Linked DNA regions of Callithrix jacchus. Each later gene encodes a partner of the first gene's protein in a complex. Links are inferred from orthologs where the notes say so. Each region holds a gene or a part of one and is shown in the gene's direction. Other genes may lie near its edges.

Region 1 (7,950 bases):
ACCTTTTGACTGCAGATAACACTGAGGCCTTGATGATGCCTGGAGGACTCTATTGTTTCTATTATTCACTGATTCTTAAAAATTTTTTTTTTCTTTTGCCTTCTTTTTTTAACCTATAAAATAAAAAGCAATATTCACTGATTCTTGATAGACACATTGCTGTCACAGATAAGCCCAGTGCTTGGTAATTTTCTACCAATTCCCACTTGCATTCTCCAGTCTCTGTGTTAACAGTGACCTCTTCCTCTACTTTTGCTTAAATGTTTCATGATTAACTGGCCTCCTTCCACAGAGCAGCCTTACCTACCCATCAAAATTTACATTTAACAATTTTTTTTTTTTTAAGCAATCGAAAATTTACCTACCCAATCCCTTGCCAGCAGATTGGCTGAGAGGTTGTATGTAGAAGCCACAGTGTGTCCAGCACACAATTGCTTACAAAAGGTGGGCAGTAAGCAACATATTGTTATTAATTTCGAGACTAAAATTCTCGCCCTTTTGCCCAGGCTGGAGTGCAGTGGCGAGATCTCAGCTGACTGCAACTTCCACCTCCCTGGGTTCATTCAATTTTCCTGCCTCAGCCTCACGCACACTGCTAAGCATACTCGAGTTTTGTTTTGTTTTGTTTTGTTTTTCTGAGACAGAGTTTCACTCTTGTTACCCAGGCTGGAGTCCAATGGCGCCATCTCGGCTCACCGCAACCTCCGCCTCCTGGGTTCAGGCAATTCTCCCGCCTTACCCTCCTGAGTAGCCGGGATTACAGGCACGCACCACCATGCCCAGCTAATTTTTTGTATTTTTAGTAGAGACGGGGTTTCACCATGTTGACCAGGATGGTCTCGATCTCTTGACCTCGTGATCCAACCGCCTCGGCCTCCCAAAGTGCTGGGATTACAGGCTTGAGCCACCGTACCCAGCCTGTTTTGTTTTTTTGAGACGGCCCAGGCTGGAGTGCTGAGTGCAGTGGTGCAATCTCTGCTCAATGCAATGTCCGCCTTCCAGGTTCAAGTGATTCTCTTGCCTCAGCCTCCCAACTAACTGGAATTTTTGTTTTGCCCAGGATCACTGAACTAGCAAGTGGCAGAGGAGGGATTCAAAGCTGGGTTGAGACTCCAGTGCTGAGGTGCTAACCATCAAACTACACATCTGACATCTGCATAAGGAAACTATTTATTTTTTTAGCAATTGAAAATTTACATATAACAGGATCTTGTTCTGTCTCTGAGACTGGAATGTAGTGGTTAAATCACAGCTCACTACAGCCTGAAACTCCTGAGCTCAAGTGGTCCTCCCACCTTAGTGTCCCAAGTAGCTGGAGCTACAGGCTTACACCACCATGCCTGGGTAATTTTTGTTTGTTTGTAGAGATGGGTGTTTTGCTGTGTTGTCCTGGCTGGTCTTGAACACCTGGGCTCAAGTAAGACTCCCACTTTGGCCCCTCACAAAGTGCTAACATTATAGGTATGAGCTATAGTACCCTAAAAAGATGCCTTTGGCTGGGCGCGGTGGCTCACGCCTATAATCCCAGCACTTTGGGAGGCCGAGGCAGGTGGATCACGAGGTCAAGAGATCAAGACCATCCTGGTCAACAAGGTGAAACCCCGTCTCTACTAAAAATACAAAAAATTAGCTGGGCATGATGGCGTGCGCCTGTAGTCCCAGCTACTTGGGAGGCTGAGGCAGTAGAATTGCCTGAACCCAGGAGTCGGAGGTTACGGTGAGCCGAGATGGCGCCATTGCACTCCAGTCTGGGTAACAAGAGCGAAACTCCGTCTCAAAAAAAAAAAAAAAATCAAACTTCTCAACAGCTCCCCAGAGTCGTTTGTCTCTTTCAGCCACCAACTGCACCCTAATGCCAGAAGTGACAAGATAAGTGAACAATTGAGTTCAGGAGCCCTGCCCCCACTCATTCTCCTCCTGCTGGATCATGTCCCATCTTGAAGTACCCCTGGCCGAGAAAAAAGAACACCCTGAGGGAGGGTAGCCTTAGATGAGAAGCATTTTCCAGAAAGACAGTAACTACTTCCTCTTCTTAGAAAAGTAGGAAGGTCTCTCTGTGTAGTTTGCAAGTACAGAAAAATTAAAAAAAAAAAAGAAAAATAGGAAGATTGCCGACATTGCTCTCCGGCCTGGGCAACAAGAGTGAAACTCCATCTTAAAAAAACTCGAGAAAAAAAAAGGCCGGGTAGGGTGGCTCCACGCCTGTAATCCCAGCACTTTGGGAGGTTGAGGTGGGAGGATCACCTGAGGTCAGGAGCTCAAGACCAGCCTGGCCAACATGGTGAAACCCTGTCTCTACTAAAAATACAAAAAAAATTAGCTGGGTGTGGTGGCATGTGCCTGTAGTCCCAGCTATCGGGAGGCTGAGGCAGGAGAATTGCTTGAACCCGGGACACAGAGTTTGCAGTGAGCAGAGGTTGTGCCGCTGTACTCCAGTCTGAGCGACAGAGTAAGACTTCTCAGTCTCAAAAAAAAAAAAAAAAAAGATCAGGGTGGGGTACAGTTCAATGCCTCAGGAAGGACAGCACACCACAGACTGTGGTAATCATCTCAATCAGAAGAGAAGAGAGGACACTGGGAGTGGGGAAATCACCCTCAACCCCACTTAAGGGTCAAAATCACAGTTTCAGTTTTCCTGGCATTTTCTTTTTTTTTCTTCCAGACAAAGTCTCATTCTGGCACCCAGGCTGGAGTAGTGCAGTGGCATGATCTCAGCTCACTGCAGCCTCTGCCTCTCTGTAGGGCTGATGGCCCCACAGGGTCGTGGAGTGAGCCTTATGCTGTGCTGAGGCGTAGGATTCGAGAAATAAAGAGACAGGACACAGAAGTACAAGAAAAATGCAGCTGGGCTCGGGGGGCCACGCCACCTATAAGCGGAGTTAGGCAAGGCCCCGAATGTCCAGAAGCATGAGTATTTATTGTGTGTAGGTTAGGGGGCAGGGCAGTGAGTGAAATCATCTTTAAGGATAGTGATAGGGTCGTGAGCAATAGAACATGGAGTCCACCCCCATCAGGTCACCTAGGCCAGGAGGTGGACAGTGCACAGCAAAGGGCCCATTCCCACGAAGGCAAGGGCTGTGCGCAGTGTGCAATACTTCTATCTATGGTCAAACTACTTCTAAGAAAATTTATAGGAGGATGCTTTAAGTCACATAGCAGTGACAGAGCTGTCAGGGTTACTGCCACCTTCTGGCAGCTTCCAATGGGTTCTATGGGAAGATGCTTTTCAAGCAGCACAGTAGCAAGAGCTGATAAAGTTCACAGTCACCAAGGTAGATTGCCGTTCTGAGGGCAGCCTTCCACAAGAACTGGAGCAACTTCTTTATCAGGAGGAGTGGCTCTTGCCCCAAGCCTGCCATACAGCGGGTATCTTTATGATACTGAACGCTGCCGCCTGGGCCATGGATTGTTGTCCTGGCATAACTGTTTTTCCCTTAAATCATGCTCTGCACTGTGTCTGCTCCAGGCATTCCTCTGATTATAAGCTGCTTATTCCTTAATTCATGCTCTGTACTGTGTCCACTCTAGGCATTCCTCCGATATGAACTAAGATATAATTATAGGTATATATGTAGGGAAATATTCTTTAGGCACTCATACATACTATTAACTATTATATGATTATATAGAGAGGATTATATAAAGGGATTCGTCAAGCCCTATTTCTATAAACTAATATATGATTGTATAAAGGATTATATAAAAGGAAATAGCTGAGTGGTAACACTATAAAGTGAGATATTCCTCAAGCCCTAACTGTGCCAGGGTTCTGCTTAGCTCTCATTCCTCGGTTCCTATATGGGGGGTTACCCACATCTCTCAGGTTCAAGTTATTCTCCTGCCTCAGACTCCCAAGTAGTTGGGTAGTTGAGATTACAGGTGCTCATCACCATGTCCGGCTAATTTTTTTTATTTTGAGACGGAGTCATGCTCTGTCGCCCAGGCTGGAGTGCAGTGGCATGGTCTTGGCTCACCGCAGCCTCCGCCTCACAGGTTCAAGCAATTCTCCTGCTTCAGCCTCCTGAGTTCTTGGGATTACAGGCGCCCACCACTTCACCCGGCTAATTTTTATATTTTCAGTAGAGACAGGGTTTCACCATGTTGGCCAGGCTGGTCTCGAACTCCTGACCTTGTGATCCTCCCGCCTTGGCCTCCCAAAGTGCTAGGATTACAGGTGTGAGCCACCACGCACAGCCTTGTTTTTTTTTTGAGACGAGTCTCTGTTGCCAGGCTGGAGTGCAGTGGCGCGATCTCGGCTCATTGCAGCCTCCATCTCCTGGAGCGTTTCTTCTGCCTCAGCCTCCCGAGTAGCTGAGATTACAGATGCGAGCCACCATGCCCAGCTAATCTTTGTATTTTTAGTAGAGACGGGGTTTCACCATGTTGCCTAGGATGTTCTCAATCTGCTGACCTCATGATCCACCCCCCTTGACCTCCCAAAGTGCTGGGATTACAGGCATGAGCCACTGCACCCTGCCTCTTTTTTCTTTTCTTTCTTTTTTGAGAGAGTCTCTTCTGTCACCTAGGCTGGAGTGTAGTGTTGTGATCATGGCTTACTGCAGCCTTGACCTCCCCAGGTTCAAGCAGTCCTCCCATCTCAGCCTCCTGAGTATCTGGGACTACAGACATGCACCACCACGCCCACCTAATTTTTTTTTTTTTTTTTTTAATAAAAAAAGATGGGGTTTCACCATGATGGCCAGACTGGTCTTGAACTCCTGACCTCAGGTGATCCACCCACCTCGACCTGCCAAAGTGCTGGGATTACAGGCATGAGCAACCACTCCCAGCCTTTTCCTGGCATTTTAATCTTAATCCCCTGATATAGTGATTAGTTCTTATTAGCTACATAAAAAGAGAAGGCTACTAGAATGGTTAACCCACATGGCAGATTGTCCACTTCCGAATGCTTAGCCTTTGAAATTTGTTTTGAGCGTGATGTGTTGCCATTTCAGGTTTGTGGTTGAGTTTGGTGTGCACAAAATATCCTACAGTTCTATTGCCTGAGGCTCCTGGGGGGCTCTCAGACACTGGCAGAAAGTCACCCTATCCACAGAGTAGCATATTCCCGCTCTTTGGCCAGTGGCTTCCACAATAGCTGTGATTCAACCTTGTTCAAGATGAGCCACATGCAGATAATCAAGCTGACTGAGCACAGTTTGGAGTTGTGCTATTTAGGAGCCAGAGGTCTGTTTGCTGGCCTGAAGAATCCCCTTGAACTTCTGCAGGAGGGTTTGGGCTGCCATTTCCACTCCTGCTTCTACCTTGCTCTTCGTGGTGGCTGTCAACCTGACTGGTTTCTTTGTCAGGCTCTTCAGCTTCAGAATGGAGACAAGAATTGCCTGGTTGCTCGCTCAAAGTGCTTCCTGAAGATGGGAGACTTGGAGAGATCCCTGAAAGATGCTGAAGCTTCACTCCAGAGTGACCCAACTTTCTGTAAGGTGACTGCATGGGGGGAGGGCTCGATCTTGCTTTCACCACTACCATTGCCTGCAGCAGCTTCTGGTTACAAGTAGCTGAAAAACCAGCCAGACCACCTACTGTTTAATGCCATTTTCTCTTCCTAGGTCATTGCCTATGTCCCTGCCCCTTGTATGCCAACCTTGACCCTCAACCCAGGACCCTTCTGTTCCCCCACATTTGAGTCCTGAAGTCTCTATCTGTTCACCTTGATTTGACTTCCTCCCATTCCAGGGGATCTTACAAAAGGCGGAGACACTATATACCATGGGAGACTTTGAGTTTGCCTTGGTATTCTATCATCGAGGCTACAAGCTGAGGCCCGATCGGGAATTCAAAGTTGGCATTCAGAAAGCCCAGGAAGCCATCAACAACTCAGTGGGAAGTAAGTGACGACAGGGCCTATGCCCTTATTTAGGAAGGTTTTTGGAATCCTTAGGTTGAGAGGAAGACTGAGGTACAGCGAGTGAGCAGCCAGCACCAGGCCCATGGGGAGTCCCACACCTGGATTTGGCTGCTGCAGCGTTGAGGATTAGGAACTGTCCACTGGGGGGACCAGGCCCTGACATACTGTACACTGATCTCTGAGCACTGCAGCCTTGGGTTTTCCTAAAGGCCAGATGAGAAGGGCTGTTTCAAAATAGGCCTGTCTTTAGCCTGGTGTCAAAAGCTAGAACACGGTCCTGAGCCCAGCCTTCCATAGTCCCTGGCTTCCTCCCTCATCAAACATATACCAAGAGCTGGCCTTAGCCATTGGCATTATGGCAGGGGGATAAGGGAGGCAAATGAGAGCAAGTGAGAGCTTGCTCTGTGGGTGACAGAGCCTGGAAATGGACAGAGTTTCTCCTGCACCCTTGGCCTCCCTTTGTTTGGAAATCTGCCATAGCCTTGGGCTAGCTGGGGCTGTTATCTCCTAGGATTTACACCAAACAGCCTGCAACATTTGCCTGTTAGGCTGGCTTAGGGCCAGCTTTGCCACAGCCTCCACCATCCCCCTGCCAAAGGCAGCCATCTCCACATAAAGATACGTGATAGGTCATGCCTGAGGGGGCTGGCCTACCTGAGCTCCAGCTTCTTTCCTTGCAGGTCCTTCTTCCATTAAGCTGGAGAACAAAGGGGACCTCTCCTTCTTAAGCAAGCAGGCTGAGGTAAGGGCCCTGGTCCTGTGGCTGTATCCCTTTAAGGGAAGAGGCTACGTGTGCCTGAGAAGGGGTCTTGGGAGTCTGGCTGCAACCCAACCAGGCATACTCCATGGTTCTTGGCCCACAGAAAAGTACTGGAGTTGGAGGAATCTGGGATCAAACATGCTGGGATCATGGCTGGATACGTTGTGCTCCTTGCTGAAACTCTGTTGGGTATTGCTCCATTTTCTCAGAATATGAAAGCCCAGCAGAAGCCTCAGCCCATGAAACACCTCTTACACCCCACCAAGGGAGAGTCCAAGCGGAAGGGCTCAATCAAGAGTGAGAAGATTGTCCGCCAGCTTCTGGGGGAGCTCTACGTGGACAAAGAATACTTGGAGAAGCTCCTATTGGATGAAGGTTTTGGACACTTTGTTGGCATGGGGCCTTGGGGAAAGGAAACCTGGGTGGATGCTGAATGCATGAGCTGAAGGCAGAACCTGTCATGTAATATTAACTGACATGTACCTATGGACAGGTTTTATTAGCATTCTCATTTTACAGATAAGGAAACTGAGGTGCAGACCAACGGAAACTAAGGTCACATATGGGGAGGGAATGACATGGCTTATGTTTGAATCCAGGACGTCCAATTTTAGAGCAGTGGTCCTAAGTGCTAAGGTACCCTGGGAGGGAACAACAGAGATTTGGTCTCCTTTACCACCATAGACCCTGGAGAGGCATCCCCTTTGCCTTCAATCTGTACAACGGGCAAAGGAATCCAGTGACTAGTGCTTGAATACAAGGATGTTACTTCTAGAATGTTCTGAAACATCATCTAGTCCAAGTTCTCCTTTCATAGATAAGGAAATAGAGACCCTGATTGGGGAGGAACTTTTACAAGGCGACAAGCAAGTTCATGGTGGAGTCAGTACCAGAACCCAGGCCTCTGACCTCCAGTCCAGTGCTCTTTTTTTTTTTTAATGACAGAGTCTCGCTCTGTCACCCAGGCTGGAGTGCAGTGGCATGAACTCGGCTCACTGCAACCTCTGCCTCCTGGGCTAAAGTGATTCTCCTGCCTCAGCCTCCTTAGTAGCTGAGATTGCAGGTGCCCACTGCCACACCTGGCTAATTTTTTGTATTTTTTAGTAGAGATGGGGGTTTCACCATATTGGCCAGGCTGGTTTCAAACTCCTGACCTTGTAATCTGCCTGCCTTGGCCTCCCAAAGTGCTGGGATTACAGGCATGAGCCACCACGCCCAGCCTAAGTTTTTGTATTTTAAGTAGAATTGGGGTTTTACCATGTTGGCCAGGCTGGTTTTGAACTCCAGACCTCAAGTGATCCACTCATCTCGCCCTTCCAAAGTG
Region 2 (8,555 bases), on another chromosome or scaffold:
GATTTCAGAGGTACAGGCAGGTGATAAACAAATAAATGCAGAGACACAGCAAGTGAAATAGACTTAAATATAGGAAGACAGAGAGAGAGAGAGAGAGAGAGAGAGAGAGAGAGAGGGAGATCATGTAATTTAGTCTAGTGGAAGGAGAGGTTAGAAAAAACAGGTTGTTTCACACAGTGACCAGTGCTAGAAAAATGGTACCGAGGAAGAAAATGGCTGGTTGGGGAAGGATTCACTTCATATTGGGAGCTGAAAGAGCACTTTGAAGAGTTGCCCACGGGGAGTGGCCGGGGCAAAGAAAACGCAGACTGTGCATGAGACAGTGTCCTCTGGGTCTGAATGCTGGCAGCAGCTTGTCACCACCACCCTTGGAGATTCCACCACCCAAAACCTGGCCACTCAGGTAACTCTGACATTTTTATCACTATCTCCACAAAACAAAATTAGTAAGATTGAATTTCTATTATGCAGGTAACTAACCTTTCTATTTTCCTTGGATTCAAGCAATTTTATAATAGATTTGTGATATACTTGGAGATCAATTCTATGTCATTTCCTCAACAGCATCCAAAGGCCTTCATCATAAAAGGTCCACATTAAGGAAAACACTTTCATCAAGTCAAGGTCCAGGCTGCTTATCATGGCAACAATCCAGTGAAAGCCGAGTCAGAGGGAAGATTGTTGTGCACGCAAAACTGAAGGAAACAACGTTAGTAGTCAGGTTAATGTACTCCTGTGTTTACAGAGCTATTCATCTTGAGGTTGCTTGGATTTTGGAAAGTTCTATGATCATTCCATGCACAGTAAAATTTATGTCCAATACAAGTTAAACACAATCCTTTATTATTTCATTATTGATTGATTTGATATGAAGCAGCCTCTCAGGCTTCATGATTTACTCTGAGAAAGCCCTTGGGAGAAAGCAGTCCTGTGTCTACGCAGCATAAGCAACTAGAACTACAAATAGAAACTTCAACTTGCTTTGAAATGTCATTCACTAACTCTAGCAGGCCTGCAACTTGTTCCTAAAATCTAAAAATATTAACTTCCAAAACTTTGCAAGAATGTAATGAAAGCTTGGAGTTTGCCGTATGTTGACAAAACATACCCTAAATAAACACAGTGCTTTCCCTGAAAAAGATGGGAAGACCTAACTGTAAGGTCAACTCTGTAAACCACTCTCTTAGATAAGTGAGATTCACAAAGCAATGCGCTTGCGTAGACAGACAAACAGATAGATGTAGAGATTGTTTTGGCTAAAAGAACAGGATGGAAGAAAGAAAGAACTGGAGGAGAAAAGTAGTAGAAGAGGAGGAGGGACTTACAAAGTTTGCTCAACAGGTTAAGGATTTTTGCTTGGCATATTTTAATTTCAACAATCTGTGATATTGCCCCTACATCTTTTTTTTTTTTTTTCACTTTAAGGGAATATGGCTGATGGGCTCTAGGCCTGAAACTGGTGAAGGAATAACTTATTAGCTCACTCATAGCAAGCACCCAGTGTATGCGATCTCCCCAAAAGTCAGAAACGACCACCAGTGTACTCACCCCCAGCGCAGGCCTACAACGTCAGATGGGGAGCCCCGGTTCTCTTAGTAATTACTGACAAGTCTTCTTTCGGGTCCTTATCTCTTGAAGTGAGCAAGAAGCAGCAATCTCTAGGAATTAAATAATTGCTACAATTCTTGTGATCTAACAGAAATCATTAAGGTATCACAGGTAAGTATTCAAATATTCAAATATGTAATTGAATTTTCAAGTGATTCAAATATATTCAGCCTTCCCTTTTGTTCTTAGGGTCTCAGAAATTTCACAGCTTCTAGACAAGGGGATACATAGAAACGCTATTTAACCAGACTGCCATTACAAACTCATAACCAGTCAATTCATATCAGGACATTTGCTTTCCAGTCCCTGCTTAACCAAGCACCCTTTGCTGTGGTTTCAAACAGTGTCCCAATCCTTCATTCCATAAACAAATCAAACAGTGAAGAAAAACCAGAGGCCTCGACATTGGAACTATTCATTTGGGATTATTACTCTCGGTTAGTAGAATTTTTCTGCCTTCAGTCTAAAAATGCGAGTATGTGTACAGTAAAATAATTTGTATTCCAAAGGCGTTTTCCCCTCTGAAGTTAAACAAGCAGGTACTCTGGGGAATACCGCAGATTTGGTGCTCCTGGCTGAGCCACCCTTTCTATTGCCACCTTAGCTGAAAGAGGGGATCCCCTCTGTGGTTAGGAAAAGCAGAAAGTGCTCCCACACTGAAGATGTAAGGAATGTCCTTTGTCTGCAGGCACAGAACCCGTCTTTCAAATAAGTAAAAGACGAAGGTTACTGAGATATTTACTGGAAAAGCAAGATTGGGCTGCACCCCACACCCAAGGGGTACTTGTCAGTTTGTTTTCACTGGGGGGGAATGCCTATTTAACCACTATAAAAATTCCCGGTGGCTCTCCTCAGATTCCACAGACAACCTCCACCTTTTGAGAGTGAGATGAGGGCAATGGGAAAAGAAAAAAAAACTACAGTCACACGCTGCATAGCGCCATTTAGATCATCGTCAGACAGCATTAGGACAGTGGTCCCATAGGATATAACACCGGGCCGGGCACAGTGGCTCACGCCTGGAATCCCAGTACTTTGGGAGGCCGAGGCGGGCGGATCACCTGAGGTCAAAAGATCGAGACCATCCTGGCCAATATAGAGAAACCCCGTCTCTACCAAAAATACAAAAATTAGCTGGGAGTGGTGGCACGTGCCTGTAGTCCCAGCTACTCGGGAGGCTGAGGTAGAAGAATCGCTTGAACCCGGGAGGCAGAGGTTGCAGTGAGCCAAGATTGCGCCATTGCACTCCAGCCTGGCGACAGAGCGAGACTCAGTCTCACAACAAACAAAAAATGAATGAATGAATAAATGAATAAATAAAAAAAGATATTTTATATATAATCCATATATAAAAGCCCTCTGGGGAAGCACACTCTGTTCTAGCTGCCTGCAGCACTCCACGGGTGACCTGCTGTGCAGGGGTGCAGCCCGGAAGCAGTGGGCTGTACCATTCAACCCGGCGTGCAGTAGGCGAGGCCATCTAGGTGTGCGTCCGTGCACTGTGATGTATGCACAGTGAGGAAATCGCCTAGTGGCCTCAGAACGCATCCCCCTCCTTAGGCAAGCCTTGACTGTATTCCAGTTTCCCCTTGCTCTCAGAAACACCACTAAAAACTTGAAGACCTCAGGTGACAGACTGCCTCCTGCTACCGCAGCAACACTGACAGCCTGAGCAGCGGCTCCGCCCAAAGGGCAAGCTCCTCGCCCTCCTGCACCAGGCTGACAGCCATCTGGACAGCACCCTTGCTATTTTGTGACGCTGCTCCAGCCCCCAAGATGGCCAAGATCTTAGGCCACCCCTTGAGGGGTGACGCTCACCACCCCTCACAAAGCGTGCACACCGTATTTCAGATTTTAATGATTTACGCTGCAAAGCAAGGAGGCTGTGCACTCAGCAGCCACAGACAACTGAACATTTAAACCCCAAAGTCAGCATCAGACTTCAGCCCACGAAGCGCCCGGCTGGGACCCTGCCTGCAGCACCGCGCACCCGGGACCCAGAGCGCGCAGAGGCGGAGCCAATGGGCGGGGCCCGGCTGTTGCCATGGTCACGTCGCGGGCAGCCTGGGAGCCAATCGGCGGCGGGCAGAGCTGTTGTCATGGCTACACCGTCTGTTAGGGCCGCGCACGCGCTCGTTGACGGAGACCTCACCCCTTTGCCCCAGCCCCAGGGCTCGCGGGCTTCCCGCGAGGGTCTCGGCAGCCGAGCGCCCCGAGATCCCCGCCGCGGCCCGATTCCGTGGGCGCCAGGCATGAACCGCAAGAAGCTGCAGAAGCTGACCGACACCTTAACTAAAAATTGCAAGCACTGTAAGTAAGAATCTAGTGCTGGACAAGACGAGGCTCCTGGGCCGGGCCTGGACCCCATCCGGTGCTAAGGGCCGCAGTTGTGCCCGCTTCCCGCAGCCCAGGCCTCTGTGGGCTACCGCCCCTCCACCCCCGCCCCTTATGCAGAAGCAGGGAGGGAATCCCGGGGTGCTAGCTCCTTGGGTTTGGCTCCAACGCCCAGGAACTTAGGAACCCAGGCCCACGCTTCTAGTGCTACCTACACTCCCACACATGCACTTCTCCAAGCCTCTTCTTTTACATGATAGAAACTTGTGGTGTTAGCCTAAGGGAGGTGTAAAATAAATGCTAAAACCCACTGGTCTTAAGAAAAGTAGCACCCCGGACGTAGATCGTACACCCACCTTGCTTTCTAGCTCGCACATATACCCGCAGGTCTAAGTTCTGGAAGCTTGCCAAGAGACCCACAGGAGAAAATGGTGCCCAAGCTCTGAACATCTTTAGGAGAGATGAGTTGTGTCATCTCATCTGTGCCTCAGAGCAAGGAGATTTGTTTGGAAACCAGAGTTCATGCAACTAAACAGGTGGTAAAGAATGGGTCCAGGCCGGGCGCGGTGGCTCACGCCTGTAATCCCAGCACTTTGGGAGGCCGAGGCGGGTGGATCACGAGGTCAAGAGATCGAAACCATCCTGGTCAACATGGTGAAACCCCGTCTCTACTAAAAATACAAAAAATTAGCTGGGCATGGTGGCGCGTGCCTGTAATCCCAGCTACTCGGGAGCCTGAGGCAGGAGAATTGCCTGAACCCAGGAGGTGGAGGTTGCGGTGAGCCGAGATCGCGCCATTGCACTCCAGCCTGGGTAACAGCAGCGAAACTCAGTCTCAAAAAAAAAAAAAAAGAAAGAAAGAAAGGGTCCAAACTTTAGACTCCCACTTTCCAGTGGCCCGTGGTGTTGAAAGATAAAGGAGGCTTTCAACCCAACGGTACTGCCTTACTGAAGGCGCCTGCTCTAACCCAACGGTACTGCCTTATTGAAGGCGCCTGCTCTAACCCAAGGGCACTGCCTTATTGAAGGCGCCTGCTCTAATCTCGCATTTGAAAGGGTGGTCCTAGAATTTCATAGGAGATGTTGAGATTCTATTCAGATTGAAAAACAGAATTGCACTTGAGCAAGGGAAGCCGTGGATATGGTTGAGACGAGGAAGATATTGCCTGTCGAGCAAACTTAGAAGTTGTGTGCTGATTGCAAAACTGCTCGCCACTTGAAGAAGCAGAAGCAACTGGTCTTTGAGCAAAGACCTGGGTTGCTCAAAGAAGAAGCAATAAACCTGTTGATGTAGTTTTAGAGAGTGTGAGATCTAGTGCATTCGAATCACCATTAGTATCTGATTAATAACTGGTAAGAAATGCTCTCTTAGTGGGATGGTGGCATAAATGAACGTTATGGTGTGTATAAGCATCTTACAAATTTTAGGCAAAATATCCTGTAATTTAAGGTATTATTATGACTTATACTCCGATGAGAGTTTTGTTCTGTTATTGTTTTTCTTAAAACACTTTCATTTCTGGGAGAAAAATAGGTATTGTTGAAACATCTAGTAAACATTTTTGATAAATATTCAAAAACAATGCAATTGCTGCTGTACACAATACTGATTTTGTCCCTTTCCTTAAGTTTGAATTTATTTAGTTTCTGTTCAGTAAATTTGAATGCATTGCAAACAATCATTCTCTGAACAATCAAAAGGTGAGTGTATATTTCAAAAGATGAGTAAAAATATGGCAGGAAAAAGTCTACTCCTTTGATTTTTTCTTTACATAAAACAATTTTAATGAGCCTTACAAACTTAGATGATTATTAAAGTCTATAGAAAGAGTTACAAGTCATGGGTATTATAATAATTTTAGATTTCCTTGAACAGAAGAAGTTTCCCCTAAAGTCAAATTTTGTTTTAGTTCCAAGACAATAGAGCTATCAAGATTCAATGATAAATTTTGTAGAATCAAAGAAGAGTAAAAGATCTTAAGAGGGCATCTAGTTCATGCACCATTCTGCAGATATGTTCTGCAGGACGTATTTAGAGCATTCCAAGAAGATGAAAATCTCTTCTTGAATTTTCTTCAGTTTCATTTAATATTGTATTCCAGAATTTAAGAAATATTTAGCAATTAAAGTTTTCTTATGGCTAACCTTTGATCCCTTGGGTAACAAATTAAACTGATTTTTAAAAAGGTTTTATTTCAGCTGAGACAGAAAAATGGCTAAGCAACATCCCATCTGCTAGCATTTTATATACATGAACAGAGTGCATCGTTCTTCCCGCAGGCTTTTCTTCCCCAACCACTAACAGCTCTTGCTTTCTCAGAAGGGTGTGGTGTGTGTGTGTTTACATACATGAAATTTACTATTTGGACCATTTTAAGTGCTTAGTTCCATGGCATTAGTACATTCCCATTGTTCTGTTTCACTCTGTTCTGCTTCCATCACCACCATCCACTTCCAGAACTTTTTCATCGTCTCCAACAGAAACTCTACCCATGAAACACTAACTCACCATCCCCTCCTCCTCCTGGCCCCTGGCAATCACCATTCTACTTGGTCTCTATGAATCTGACTACTCTAAGTACCGCATGTACAAGGAATCATACAATATGTGTCCTTTTGTGTCTGGCCTATTTCACTTAGCATAGTGTCCATAAATGTTCATTTATCTGTTGAATTTTCTTCCTTTTCACGGCTGAATAGTAGTATTTTATTGTATAAATATGCCACATCTTGTCTGTCCATCCCTCCATTGATGGACTCTTGCGTCTGTCTTTTGACTGTTCTGAATAATACCACTATGAACATTGTTGTACAGGTTCCTGCTTTCAGTTCTTCTCGGTATGTACTCAGGTAGAATTCCTGGATCATACAATAATTGTGTTTACATTTTTGAGGAACCATCCTAATGTTTTCCACAGTGACAACAGCTGTTTTTAAAATCATAACCATTATATTATTTCCTACTATTTATTTACTGAATCCTTTTTTTCCCAGAGTTTTCAGTATTTCTCTTTAAGCATGGTTCTCAAAACCAGAAATCCCACAAAAGCCCATACTGACCTCTAAGATGAGGCGTGCTTTTTCCATTCCTAGATGCTGTCTTCTGTTACACGCACACACACAGGTTTTGTCCTTGTTTTCTTAAAATGCTCAATCATAGTTCTGCCTGGTTTCAAAACAAATTTTCCCCAACTTTCGCTCATACTTGGTATTTGGGCTTTTATATTTTCAAGACCAAGCAATAACCCTTCCACCTACATTCTCAAATGGGAATTGGAACACAAATAATCAGCTCGGTATTTATAACCATGGTTCTTTACACAATATGTGTATGAGCAAGCATCTGTGTGTATATATCCTTTAAAAAAATTTCTTTCCTCCCAACAATTACTGAATAGTTGCATATTAATTTTTACATAATCCTCAACAAGAGCCATATTGGGTGCTAGACTATACTGTAAAGCTTTTTTTTTGAAAAACTAGTGACTCTGGTTTCCAAAATCTGGCTTATGAATCCATGAAGGCTAAAGTGAAATGAAAATTGTTACCTACTTTTCATGAAACTGACATCTATTTCCAGGGAAAAGAAGTTGTAAACTCATGAATGCCAATAAACACTGGGAAAAAGTTACCATTCTTAAACCTTACCATTCTTATTTTGAGTCATATTTCTACCAGCCTTGTAGAGTTTAGAATCCTACACCACCATCATTAGTCTAATAACTTAGCTAATACTGTCATATTTTTCCCCTAAACGTGGGAACTCCTGTTTGGAGGGTGTGCTACTTCTATTTCTATTAAGGGTCATGAATCTCAAAACAAGAGAGTCTTCTATTGACAATTACCTATTTGATGTCTTTTATGTTGTTTGTAAACTTATTAATGCAAAATTTAAGTTAGAGCTTAAAGATTAAGGATTCATTTTTGTTATATCTGTTTTATTCTTTCAGTTAATAAATTTGAAGTGAACTGTCTTATAAGGCTTTTTTACAACTTGGTGGGAGGAGTAGAGAGGCAAGGTCTGATTATTGGACTGGATCGTAATGCCTTTCGAAACATCCTGCATGTGACGTTTGGAATGACAGATGACATGATTATGGACAGAGGTAAGAGACACAGGAGATTCAAATTGGCCAAATCCAGCCATAACTGAAAAAAAAAGTTTTGGCTTTTGGACATCCTCTTGGTAGGAAGCTTAGTGTTTTGCATTCCCTGTGCCACTGGAATATACAAATTTAATTTTGAAAAGATCATAGAAAAGAGGTAATATTTGGCTTTATTTTGTGTATTTAAGAAGAAGGCAGAGTCATGTTGACTAACTACCTTTCCCTTACTTTATATCAGAAAACCCAAAGCATTTCTATTTATACTCAATAAAACTAATAAATAGAATAGTTTTTAAAGGACATTTAAATTATTTACATCTTCAGTGACAAGATATAATTCTATGCAACATGTAATGACTTGAGTAACAAAAAGAGTATTTTATTTATATTAGTATTTAACTATCTCATTAACATGACCAACATATCTATTATTAATGATTAATACATTTAGGCATTGAGAACTGTATTCATTCCCACGAAAACATTTTAAAAATTGAATGTTTAATA

Evidence for each region.
Region 2: ODAD4 (region 1) and CLXN share a complex: the UniProt entries of both Homo sapiens proteins name them as parts of the outer dynein arm-docking complex. The link is inferred for Callithrix jacchus from reciprocal best matches to the Homo sapiens genes ODAD4 and CLXN.

The regions. Positions count from the first base shown.
Region 1 is NC_133506.1:91,291,274-91,299,223, reverse strand, and holds part of ODAD4 (outer dynein arm-docking complex subunit 4), read left to right. Parts: intron 1-5,309; coding exon 5,310-5,441; intron 5,442-5,694; coding exon 5,695-5,845; intron 5,846-6,546; coding exon 6,547-6,608; intron 6,609-6,835; coding exon 6,836-7,001; intron 7,002-7,950. UniProt on the Homo sapiens protein: Component of the outer dynein arm-docking complex (ODA-DC) that mediates outer dynein arms (ODA) binding onto the doublet microtubule. Plays an essential role for the assembly of ODA-DC and for the docking of ODA in ciliary axoneme.
Region 2 is NC_133517.1:5,913,520-5,922,074, forward strand, and holds the start of CLXN (calaxin), read left to right. Parts: upstream 1-3,746; 5' UTR 3,747-3,860; coding exon 3,861-3,918; intron 3,919-7,892; coding exon 7,893-8,048; intron 8,049-8,555. UniProt on the Homo sapiens protein: Component of the outer dynein arm-docking complex (ODA-DC) that mediates outer dynein arms (ODA) binding onto the doublet microtubule. Seems to regulate the assembly of both ODAs and their axonemal docking complex onto ciliary microtubules.